Arabidopsis thaliana: one gene and its partners. The protein of the gene in region 1 interacts with the protein of each later gene in a biochemical or structural test. Each region holds a gene or a part of one and is shown in the gene's direction. Other genes may lie near its edges. The genes, in order: ETR2, AT5G20820 and AT1G72430.

Evidence for each region.
Region 2: the proteins of ETR2 (region 1) and AT5G20820 form a complex in vitro, tested with the Arabidopsis thaliana proteins (one study listed by BioGRID).
Region 3: the proteins of ETR2 (region 1) and AT1G72430 form a complex in vitro, tested with the Arabidopsis thaliana proteins (one study listed by BioGRID).

The regions. Positions count from the first base shown.
Region 1 is NC_003074.8:8,252,502-8,258,411, forward strand, and holds ETR2 (Signal transduction histidine kinase, hybrid-type, ethylene sensor), read left to right. Parts: upstream 1-2,057; 5' UTR 2,058-2,523; intron 2,524-2,620; 5' UTR 2,621-2,654; coding exon 2,655-4,421; coding exon of another isoform or gene 4,422-4,469; exon of another isoform or gene 4,470-4,504; coding exon 4,505-5,059; 3' UTR 5,060-5,387; downstream 5,388-5,910. Other genes in the region: AT3G23145 (ATP binding / aminoacyl-tRNA ligase/ nucleotide binding protein), read left to right, coding at 140-325, 452-515, 631-695. UniProt on the Arabidopsis thaliana protein: Ethylene receptor related to bacterial two-component regulators. Acts as a redundant negative regulator of ethylene signaling.
Region 2 is NC_003076.8:7,046,153-7,049,018, reverse strand, and holds AT5G20820 (SAUR-like auxin-responsive protein family), read left to right. Parts: upstream 1-1,572; 5' UTR 1,573-1,724; coding exon 1,725-2,108; 3' UTR 2,109-2,272; downstream 2,273-2,866. UniProt on the Arabidopsis thaliana protein: May be involved in the regulation of ethylene receptor signaling. Promotes cell expansion and plant growth. Involved in the regulation of cell elongation.
Region 3 is NC_003070.9:27,264,068-27,267,469, reverse strand, and holds AT1G72430 (SAUR-like auxin-responsive protein family), read left to right. Parts: upstream 1-1,663; 5' UTR 1,664-1,960; coding exon 1,961-2,320; 3' UTR 2,321-2,868; downstream 2,869-3,402. UniProt on the Arabidopsis thaliana protein: May be involved in the regulation of ethylene receptor signaling. Promotes cell expansion and plant growth.

The DNA.
Region 1 (5,910 bases):
GGTTGTCATCGCTTCCTAGTGATAAGCCTAAGGCCGGCTTAACTAATGGAACTTACTAGTGATACCATAATGCGAAAGGTGCTAATTAAGCTTGACAGTGAAGAGGATTCTTATCAAGTTTTGGAAAATTTTAATGGAGATTCCTTGGTTGGGAAGAAGTATGAACCTTTGTTTGATTACTTTTAGCGATTTCTCAAGTGTGACTTTTCGACTAGTAGCAGATGATTATGTCATGAATGATAGTGGTACTGGTATTGTCCATTGTGCTCCTGTCTTTGGTGCAGATGACTATCGTGTTTGTCTTGAGAACGAGATAATTAAGAAGGTTAGATTTGACAACATCTTCCTTATATCACCACCTTTAACATTAAGTTTATTTTCTTTCTTGTTTAAGTTTACAGTATCTTCAAGAACCCATGTTCATGACACATTTTGTTCATGTGTTGTTTAGATTGTCAGAGATTTCAAACGTCCAGATGGTTTGAAAGATACAGAGATTGATGCAGCTGTAGATAGTACATATCTTAATTAAAAATACCACTTCTCTATGCTCTATTGTTGAGGAAACATATAATATTTGCATTCGTTCATGGTTCAGATATGATGTTATGGTAATTCTTGATCTACGAGAAGATGAATCTTTGAAAAACGAAGGTGTTGCCCGTGAGGTAAATAAATGTAACCGAAGCGATTAATGGTCATATATAAGTTGTATATTTGATATATGGGTTTCCTTCTCATTGTGCTCATGCATTGAAAAGCACCCTGTTATGACTGTGGTTCTAGGAGAACATTTGCATTTGACAGTCGGTGACTAATTGTTAAGCAAGAAGAACGCATGAGAGCCTTTTAAAGTGTTTTCTTCTAGATCGTTGCAAAAAGTTAAATGTCTCTTGAGACTTTGTACTCATTCTATAGATAAAGATGGGATTTATTACAAAAACAACAAGAAACTTTGTTACTTGTGGAAATTCAAAATTATCCGAACTAGCTTCACAAAATATGCTCAAGAGTTTCAATGTATTTTTTTTTGTTCTGTAATTGTATGACTCCGTTTGAAGCATCAAGATTATGGTTATAGGTAGTGATGCTAAAACTCTCTGTTGTTACAGTGACCACTAAAAACACCAACAAAAAAAACTTAGGTAACGTGTCGTCTAAAAACTTCTAGGTTCAATTTCTTTAGATAGTACTATCAATAAATAAAATAAATATGTACAAAGGCTTTAAACAATGATGTTTTTCAAAGATGATTGGTAGATACTAATTAGAGCTTCAATATAAAAGAACACATGCGATTCTGACATTCTGTGGTCTAACATGGTTTCTTCTAGAGTCAAAACCATACAATTAAAAGTTAGGAAAGTAATAGCAATGTGGTTTCAAATATATACTCATTACTCTTTAGATTCATGTATGGTGAAGGAAACATTATAATAAAATCAAAGATCACAGTTTTGTAGGTCCCTCATATTAATCAACATCTTAAGGCGTTATACATATCTTCTTTTTGTAAATATTTGACTAATTAAAATATCTAATTAGAGTATTAGACTAATCTCATCAAATATCCGACTACTTGTGTCAGTTCAAAACACAGTGATTACGTTAGATTTTGTGCTCTTTTGTTTATAAACAAAGCTAATTTAAGAAATATATGATCTATTTGCCTCCTTGGTCTTAATTTTATACTTTCTTGGAATAAAACACATTTATTAAAATAATTTTTAGGTTCCTAGATTCATGTCATGTGGCTTGATAGTTTCCAACAATTATACCAATATTTTACTCATTCATATACAAATAAACAAGCTTTATTCTATTCTTCAGTCTCATGATATACGGGATTTTGATAAAATTCAGAGTACCCATTAATTATTCTATGTTACAGCTTGTAATAAGTTAAATTTATAAAACGTACAAGTTGAGGAAATAACAAATGTTTTCAATATTAAATGATTTATTAATACATTAGTGACCAAAAAATTATTAAGTGTAAGAAAAAAAACACAACTCAGAAAAAATTCAAAAGACCGTCTAAGTTCGGTTCATGTAAGAACAAGTGGGACCTCTTTAAGTTTCTAAATCAGAGAATAAAGAAGAAGAAAAAATCTCAAAACCTTCCTCTAAAACCAACGGCTCCTACCTTTACTTACACCCTATACATACACTTCTCTTTTTATCCTCCATCGGCGGCTTATGGCGGTTTTCCGGCACTAATCATCTCCGGCATATATAAATAAACGTACTTCACGTTTTTTTATATAACTTCAAAGTAGTTTCAGATTTGTCTCTATCTCTTCACTTTTAAGTCTTCTGGTTTTGTCATCACCAGCTTTTTTTGTTCTGTCTCTGTCTTTCTCTTTGTGTATTTTTATTCTCGTCATCGTTGTTCTTCTATGAGAGGAAGATCGGAATGTCGAAGAGAATTAGAAGATTCTCGTACATCACTTCGTTGGAATTTCACAGGTCGATGAGAGATCTGAGAACTGTTTCATTTTGATCCAAACTCATCTCTTTCAGGTATTCCAAATTTTTCTTTCTCTGTTCTTTCTACTATTACCCAAATTAAAGTTTTGATTTTTATTTCTCACTCTGTTTCTTGTTTTTCTAATTGCAGAGTATAATGGACTAAGCATTTTTTTTCTCCGAAGATGGTTAAAGAAATAGCTTCTTGGTTATTGATACTATCAATGGTGGTGTTTGTTTCTCCGGTTTTAGCTATAAACGGCGGTGGTTATCCACGATGTAACTGCGAAGACGAAGGAAACAGTTTCTGGAGTACAGAGAACATTCTAGAAACTCAAAGAGTAAGCGATTTCTTAATCGCAGTAGCTTATTTCTCAATCCCTATTGAGTTACTTTACTTCGTGAGTTGTTCCAATGTTCCATTCAAATGGGTTCTCTTTGAGTTTATCGCCTTCATTGTTCTTTGTGGTATGACTCATCTTCTTCATGGTTGGACTTACTCTGCTCATCCATTTAGATTAATGATGGCGTTTACTGTTTTCAAGATGTTGACTGCTTTAGTCTCTTGTGCTACTGCGATTACGCTTATTACTTTGATTCCTCTGCTTTTGAAAGTTAAAGTTAGAGAGTTTATGCTTAAGAAGAAAGCTCATGAGCTTGGTCGTGAAGTTGGTTTGATTTTGATTAAGAAAGAGACTGGCTTTCATGTTCGTATGCTTACTCAAGAGATTCGTAAGTCTTTGGATCGTCATACGATTCTTTATACTACTTTGGTTGAGCTTTCGAAGACTTTAGGGTTGCAGAATTGTGCGGTTTGGATGCCGAATGACGGTGGAACGGAGATGGATTTGACTCATGAGTTGAGAGGGAGAGGTGGTTATGGTGGTTGTTCTGTTTCTATGGAGGATTTGGATGTTGTTAGGATTAGGGAGAGTGATGAAGTGAATGTGTTGAGTGTTGACTCGTCCATTGCTCGAGCTAGTGGTGGTGGTGGGGATGTTAGTGAGATTGGTGCCGTGGCTGCTATTAGAATGCCGATGCTTCGTGTTTCGGATTTTAATGGAGAGCTAAGTTATGCGATACTTGTTTGTGTTTTACCGGGCGGGACGCCTCGGGATTGGACTTATCAGGAGATTGAGATTGTTAAAGTTGTGGCGGATCAAGTAACCGTTGCGTTAGATCATGCAGCGGTTCTTGAAGAGTCTCAGCTTATGAGGGAGAAGCTGGCGGAACAGAACAGGGCGTTGCAGATGGCGAAGAGAGACGCGTTGAGAGCGAGCCAAGCGAGGAATGCGTTTCAGAAAACGATGAGCGAAGGGATGAGGCGTCCTATGCATTCGATACTCGGTCTTTTGTCGATGATTCAGGACGAGAAGTTGAGTGACGAGCAGAAAATGATTGTTGATACGATGGTTAAAACAGGGAATGTTATGTCGAATTTGGTGGGGGACTCTATGGATGTGCCTGACGGTAGATTTGGTACGGAGATGAAACCATTTAGTCTGCATCGTACGATCCATGAAGCAGCTTGTATGGCGAGATGTTTGTGTCTATGCAATGGAATTAGGTTCTTGGTTGACGCGGAGAAGTCTCTACCTGATAATGTAGTAGGTGATGAAAGAAGGGTCTTTCAAGTGATACTTCATATAGTTGGTAGTTTAGTAAAGCCTAGAAAACGTCAAGAAGGATCTTCATTGATGTTTAAGGTTTTGAAAGAAAGAGGAAGCTTGGATAGGAGTGATCATAGATGGGCTGCTTGGAGATCACCGGCTTCTTCAGCAGATGGAGATGTGTATATAAGATTTGAAATGAATGTAGAGAATGATGATTCAAGTTCTCAATCATTTGCTTCTGTTTCCTCCAGAGATCAAGAAGTTGGTGATGTTAGATTCTCCGGCGGCTATGGGTTAGGACAAGATCTAAGCTTTGGTGTTTGTAAGAAAGTGGTGCAGGTGAGTTTCCTTACATATCTCTTTCTAAAGTTCCTGTCATTAGTCTGAGTTTCTGTTTAGGAGTTCTTTGATAATGTGTGCAGTTGATTCATGGGAATATCTCGGTGGTCCCTGGCTCGGATGGTTCACCGGAGACCATGTCGTTGCTCCTTCGGTTTCGACGTAGACCCTCCATATCTGTCCATGGATCCAGCGAGTCGCCAGCTCCTGACCACCACGCTCACCCACATTCGAATTCTCTGTTACGTGGCTTACAAGTTTTATTGGTAGACACCAACGATTCGAACCGGGCAGTTACACGTAAACTCTTAGAGAAACTCGGGTGCGATGTAACCGCGGTTTCCTCTGGATTCGATTGCCTTACCGCCATTGCTCCCGGCTCGTCCTCGCCTTCTACTTCGTTTCAAGTGGTGGTGCTTGATCTTCAAATGGCAGAGATGGACGGTTATGAAGTGGCCATGAGGATCAGGAGTCGATCTTGGCCGTTGATTGTGGCGACGACAGTGAGCTTGGATGAAGAAATGTGGGACAAGTGTGCACAGATTGGAATCAATGGAGTTGTGAGAAAGCCAGTGGTGTTAAGAGCTATGGAGAGTGAGCTCCGAAGAGTATTGTTGCAAGCTGACCAACTTCTCTAAGTTGTTATCTCAACTTCTCTTCTACATTCAAAATTTTTACACCATAGATTTATGTCAAATATATCAAAATGAAATTTCGAAATTGTTATTATATATACCACCCATATCTCTATGATTTGTACATCCTGTTTTTTTTTGTTCTTTTTCTCATTTTGAACCCCACGAAATTGCATTGAATCTTAGTATTTCGTAGGGTCAAGAAGGAGTCAGTTTCGTAGTTTTTTGTTTTCTTTATGTTACGAACTTACGAAACTGAATATGGCATTATAGAGTTTTGAAGATAAATTTTCTTCGTTACTACTCTACATCAAGTTAATTCTCTAGTAGGTATTAGAGCTCTCTTAAATTATCCTGGAACATGAAAAGTTGTAGATAATGTCGTCTGCCACTTTTGTAATAAACTTTTCAAACAAAAGAATCATTGAAAAAAATGTGTGACTTTATTAGTTGTTACCAGTAAAAATCAAAATATAGTAATTATTTGTTAGATTCATGCCCCCTGGACTAGAGAAGATTACATTAAACAAAACTGCACATTCCTCGAGCCTATTAAACTAAAAGAACTGCATAAAATAAAGTAGAAATGGATTGGATTTGCAGAAAGTGAATCTAGGGAAGAGATGGGTTTACGTAACTTGCAATTATATATTCAAACCCACTTGTGCTTATACATTTGTTTCTTCGAACCCGACAATCTTTGACAGATTAGTCTTAATTATTAGTTAAAGTACTAATTATTTGATAACTACAGTGAAAACAATCATGTCCAAATAGATAACCACTCTTCACTTTACACTTTCAAGAATCCAAATATTTCCCCCGGCTGCCTACAGTTATTGCGAGTAAAACAG
Region 2 (2,866 bases), on another chromosome or scaffold:
GTGGGGAACACACATGTGTGTGCATTCCCCTTTGTTTAAGGCAATTCTGATATTAAGAACTAAAGCTTTGTATCAACTTTATGAGTAAGTTCCATGCTAGCTTTAGGTTTTTCAAAGGTTTAGATTATATGTCTGCAATGGTGAACGTAAACTATGAATGCATATGCATTATAAGATAGTTTTTCAACGTTTTTTGGCCTTTTGGGAAAGAAACTTCAGTCGTCTAAACGGTTCCTCTAGTACAGCTTGACGCTTTGGCAGGTGATCGAGTCCGCCCAAAAATAGAGAACTTGACATTTTCACTAACAAATTTATTTGATACTATAAATCTGTGATTGGTCGTTGCTCTCATCTTAATTTCTTCTATATTATCTTTACTTGGACTCTTCCGCCAATCTTTTATAAATCTCACACTTTTAATTAATATGATGTCTAGTTTATTACGAAGATTGATAAACTTTTCAATTAATTATAAGTAGACAAACTAGGAGGAGGTCCAATTTCATATTAATATTTTGGTTACATGATTAGAAAGACATTTGATGCCCTTGTGTCGGCTGATTATGATATAAACAATTTTACGTAAAAAAAGAAGAAGACAAATCTTCCGGAACTCACATGCTGTAACAGTAGAAGCCAATACTACGTAAATAATAAATAAACTTCACAAATGAATAATGTCGGAGTCTAATCTAACCACAACAAAATGACAAAATTTTGCAATTTTATAGTATTTGTTATTGTAACATGTTATGTGTAAAAAAAGAGAAGATAATTTTTTTAATCAAAAGCAGAGATAGCCAATTACTTACCTAACTAATTAGAACTAATAAGCCGCTTTAGAAGTTCATGAACCTCCTTTAGTTGTTGGATTAGTTTATTATAATCAAGTGATTACATAAAGTTCACAGCTTCATTTATATTGTTATGATCTTCATTCAAAGAAATTTATATTTTATATAAACGAGAAAAATGGGAACTCCATAAATTTTTAGAAGAAAAATTGTCGTAGTTAAATATCTAACTGAAATTCGTTGAAAGAAAAGAGAATATATTTAAAGTTTCTAATAAATACTATGAAAATCCTTTGAAGAAAAGTACATATTGAATAGAACATATAATCTAGTAAGTTTGTGGTACTCGTTACTTCATCATTTGGATTGAAATGACACAAAAACAAATGTGATGAAGATCCAAACTTAACAAAAATTCATCCAAAATATAAGTTTACACTTTACACACTCGAAGTCTCGAAGGTTCTTACCACAACGTAGTTAAAACGTTAGCCAAATTTAGTTTTAAGAAAATGGTTATGGGGAAATGATGATGTATATGGTTGACTGGGATAACAAAAACTTTTGGAGTGATGTGGGTTTGCATGTTTTAATATATACTTTTAGCTTTATCTTTCCAATTCATAATCATAATCTTTTCGAATAATTGCTTCCGGCTCTTGGAAACTTTTAGATCATTGGATAATGGCTATTCAAAAATCGGTTGATAACCTAAACGTTCTCAAACTTATTAAAACCATGAAATTATACTGAAAATAATAATACTATAATTACGAATCTACCCTTAGCAAGTTATATAAGAACATCATTCTCCTTTCTCTCTTCGACATCGACATTCCTCTTCCTCGCTTCTCTCTCTCTCTCTCTCTCACCGGAAAACTCACTCGGACTTACATTTCCGACGTCAAACTTCTCCAAACCGAATCGGTAATGGCGAAAGGAGGAAACAAACTGATGAAGCTGAAATCAGTTTTGAAGAAACTCAATTCATTCAACACCAAGCCTAACCAGCCACCAGCTCAAACCAATCACAGCCGATCCTCCGCCGTGAGTGCGTTCCCCTCTGAAGACCTTCAAACTGTCTACGTAGGCCGAACACGGAGGACATACCACGTGAGCTCCGATGTCGTGAGCCACCCGCTCTTCCAGCAGCTAGCGGCGGTGGATGGTGGATGCGGCAGCGAGGACGGTTCCATCTCTGTGTCGTGCGAAGTTGTCTTGTTTGAGCATTTGCTTTGGATGTTGGAGAACGCCGACGCCGATGAGTCACGCCCCGAGTCGGTCTACGAACTTGTCGAGTTCTACGCTTGTTAACTCTTTATGATTAATTTAGGTTCAAAATATATTTATGATTAAATGTTACATGTTTGTATATTCTACACTTTGTATACTTTACACTTTACATAGTATTTCGTGAAATAATCTATTTTCTGTTAAATGATACAACAACGATAAAATAAATGTTTAAATGTGTAAATATTGTCTTGCAAGTTGCAATGTAGTTTAAAAATGATGATTTTTTAATGGTTATACAAAGAGCTAAAACTAATTGCAATGTCAATGTTGTATTTGACTGACTTCGTGAACTAGATCAATCACGGGCTACAAAATTTCAAACCCTAATCAATTCATCTTATCTACTTTAGATTGATTGGCCCCTACGTATTTAAATATATTTATAAAATTTATCCGTGTATCTTTTTTTTTCCATAAAAACATACGTATACACGCATGTCATGCACAATTGCACATAAACATACAAACTAAACAATTAAACAATGAACGTATTATATAGATAAATAATTTTGATAAAGTCTAGACGGATTTGCATCTTTTAAAGTCGCAAAAGAAATATGATGACTGAGAAAAAAAAATATAATAAATTAAATCTACATGTGATGTTTTTTAATTTTTGTTTTGGCAAAAGTCATGTAAGAAACTGATTTTATTTGGTAAAATGCAGAATGAAAAAAAAAACGATTAAACATATTTAGGCTTTATGTGAAAAATTAGAAACGAAATTTTTTTCTGACTGGATCGCTAACAGACGAATGCAAGACTTGGAATGGGGT
Region 3 (3,402 bases), on another chromosome or scaffold:
TCCTAACTGGCTTGTCTCTACTTTAATTTTGGACTCTAGCTTGTTTTTAATACAACTAATCGAAAATTTCTCTTAAATTAAGTTTCTAACCTTTTTAGTAATATTTAATCTAATCCAAAAAAATGAATTTCTAAAAGTATCACACCTTAGAATATTAAGTAATACATGTTGCTACCTTTATATAATTAAGTTATAGCATAACTCGATTTATGCTAATCATTGCAATGATTACGAATCGGAAGTAATTAGTATTCCTAAATTCAGATTGCTTGTTTGTTTCGTGTGATGCCAGTATGTATATGCTGCATATATGCGCGTATCATTTTCCTTTCTTCAAATCTTCAAAAATTCTCTAAGATCTTCACTATTCAAAAATAAAATATTTCACTCTTGATCAAATTGTAGGTCTGGTTTGATGTTTTACTAGCTACATAAGTACATTAAGATAAAGATAGTTATCTAATGTTTAATGATGAGAGAGTACTATATTACTATTTTATTTCTTTTGCTATAAACAAGTACTATATGTTCGACCATTTATAAAAAAGAAGTATCTAAAAATTCCTTAAATGATTAGCTTACCATCCACAACTTTTTTTGTTCGATAAAAGACAGACGGTAAGGTAAGGTCTTCTCCACCTAATTTCTCGGAAATGCCAAACTAACTTTATGAAAAGAATGAGCAATATTTATGATTATGCATTTGCACTAGATAAAAGGACTGTGTCTTGTCGAAAAGAGCATAATATGCTTGTGGTTAGTTTTTGCATCCGTCAATAAAACCTAATTACCGTGTAAATTATATGAGTTTACGAGTTTAATTTTATAGTATGCTTTTTGAATGTTCATATCTAATTTATGTTCTTAATATGAAATGAAGAAAATCGAAGGTAAATCGACAGATGAAGACCATACTTGTTTTCTATAGTACATGATAATATGAACGACAAAAAATTAGCATTATCGGGTAATATTGAACAAAATTGTGGACAAGATGTAATCGTTATCTAAAAAACATCGCTCTTTGTCCGATCATTAGACAACAACACGCAATAAGAGGTTGCCTACACATCTCTACTCACCGCACGTATATGTATATATCTACAAATTATTATATACTATAAGACATCATAATATACAAAATACAATTTAAAAAAAAATTATACAACAAACATGAATGTTTATCAAGCAAGCATTTCCAAAACTGGATTTGTGGTGTCTGACATTTATGTAGGCAAAACAAAATGTCACAGGTAAGAGAAATAGTGTGTATATATAGTATCAAATATATATAAAAAGGAAAAAAAATTGTATCAAATAATTTAATAGTTTTGTTATGTTAAATTAGATAAAATGTTATTTATTATGTATTTTTTATTGATATATATATATATATATATTTAGCCAAATAAATTAATGGTGTAATGATCACTTGTTATATCTGTTTTTTTTAATAGAACGTATTTATCAGTTTTTTCGTAGACCGTATCATTCCCTCATCCATCTATCATAATTTTACAATATTTTTCTTATCAGCAAGTGTAATTTGTAACATGAAAATAAATGAATGAATATGGCAAAATTTATTACAAAATTAAAATTATTACGAATCTCAATATATAATTACAAGATACAACAAAAAAGAAAGAAAAAACAATGGGCAAAAAACGATACTAGTTTTGCCATTTATGTCCTCATCTCTCTTAGCTGTTATGCATCAATCGGTGGGTCATGCACCTATACGTTCTCTCTCTATCTCACTCAATATATATACACGAACCTTCCTCGTTATTTCCTCCCAAGAACATCTCTCAAACATTCCTCTCTTCTTCTTCCAATATTTTGATCCCCACACACACTCACATCAACACATATAAATCTCCTCGTAAACCCTAAACCCTAGCTAGTTTCAACAACTCTCTTGTTCCAACCCCAAGAAAAAAGTTCAATTTCGTTAGCAATGGCCAAAGTTGGGAAGCTGACAAAGCTTAAGTCGGCTATGAAGAAATGGCCTTCTTTCGCCAAGAACCACCACCACTCAACCTCCTCAGCCGCTGTTTCCGACGAACTCTCAGAAGACAACAATCTCCATGTGGTTTACGTTGGTCAAACTCGAAGACCTTACATGCTTAGACCAGACATCATCTCTCACCCACTCTTTCAAGAACTCGTGGATCGGTCTTCTTCTAGATCCATCGAACAAGATCGTGAGATTGTTGTAGCTTGTGAAGTCGTTTTGTTCGAGCACTTGCTGTGGATGCTCAAGTCTGGTCAAGAAGGAGGATCCGTTGAAGAATTGGCTGAGTTCTATACTTATTGACATCGACCGATTGATTTTATACATTTATTTCGTATAATATATACCTTTTTTGTTGTTGTTTGTTGTTGCTGATTTGTATTTTCATTCGATGCGGTGTGTGATCAAAACGTGATCTCGTAAACCATGTCATTTGCTTCCGTTTTTCTGAGCAATTTTATGATGATGATGAGCATATGTAGTTTTCTTACTTTGTTAAGACCAACCAAGAATAAATTTCTACTAACAACAATCTTTATATATATTTTCCTTCAAAATGTATTTCAGTACCTATATTAATTGTAATATACATAAAAAAAGAATGCAATGATTTCAAGAAAACAAACTAAGTTTTCTGGTAGGTTTTGTTTCTATATTTATTTTATTATGGCGGTTTTGTAAACTTTTGTTTCTATTTTCGTAACGTATCTTTCTCATATGAGTCATGAGTCTCATGACATAATAAAGAAGGCCTTTGATGATGTTCGATAAACAAAAGTTGGTTGAATATGATGAGTCCAATTCATTTATTTTGCTTTATATAAACAAAATATGACTAGCAATGATTTCTATCATCGATATTCATTTTTTTTTTTTTTTGCGTATCATTTGTATGGTGTCAGTTTCAAATCTATTTTTGTGTGTGTATAAAATAGAAAATACGTATGCAATTTCTTTTAAGGAAATAATAATGGTCGCTCTCATGACGCGTTGGTGACCTGGTCCCAATTTCATGTCCCTACTCTCCTTTCTAGTTGCAGACATTATATATTTATCTTTTAATATTCTTGAACTTTCAGCCATACAAAATAAATTAAAGCTTACAGGTTAATTAGTCGATATACTAATAAATTTGTAGTTTGTTGTACTAATTGGCATTACTTACACCAACATATGTGCATTAATATACGTTTATAGACATAAATTGGTAGATAAAATAACTGACATTAATTTTCCGAGGTGGGTACGAAAAGGACGCGCAGAATAATTATTGAAGATAAGTATAATTAGTAAGACCAAAATAAATTAATTTCCTACGTAGGACGAAGTTCTAATCATTATAATCAAAGAAAAGAAGTTTCTTTGCTAAGTTTAATTAAGCTTGT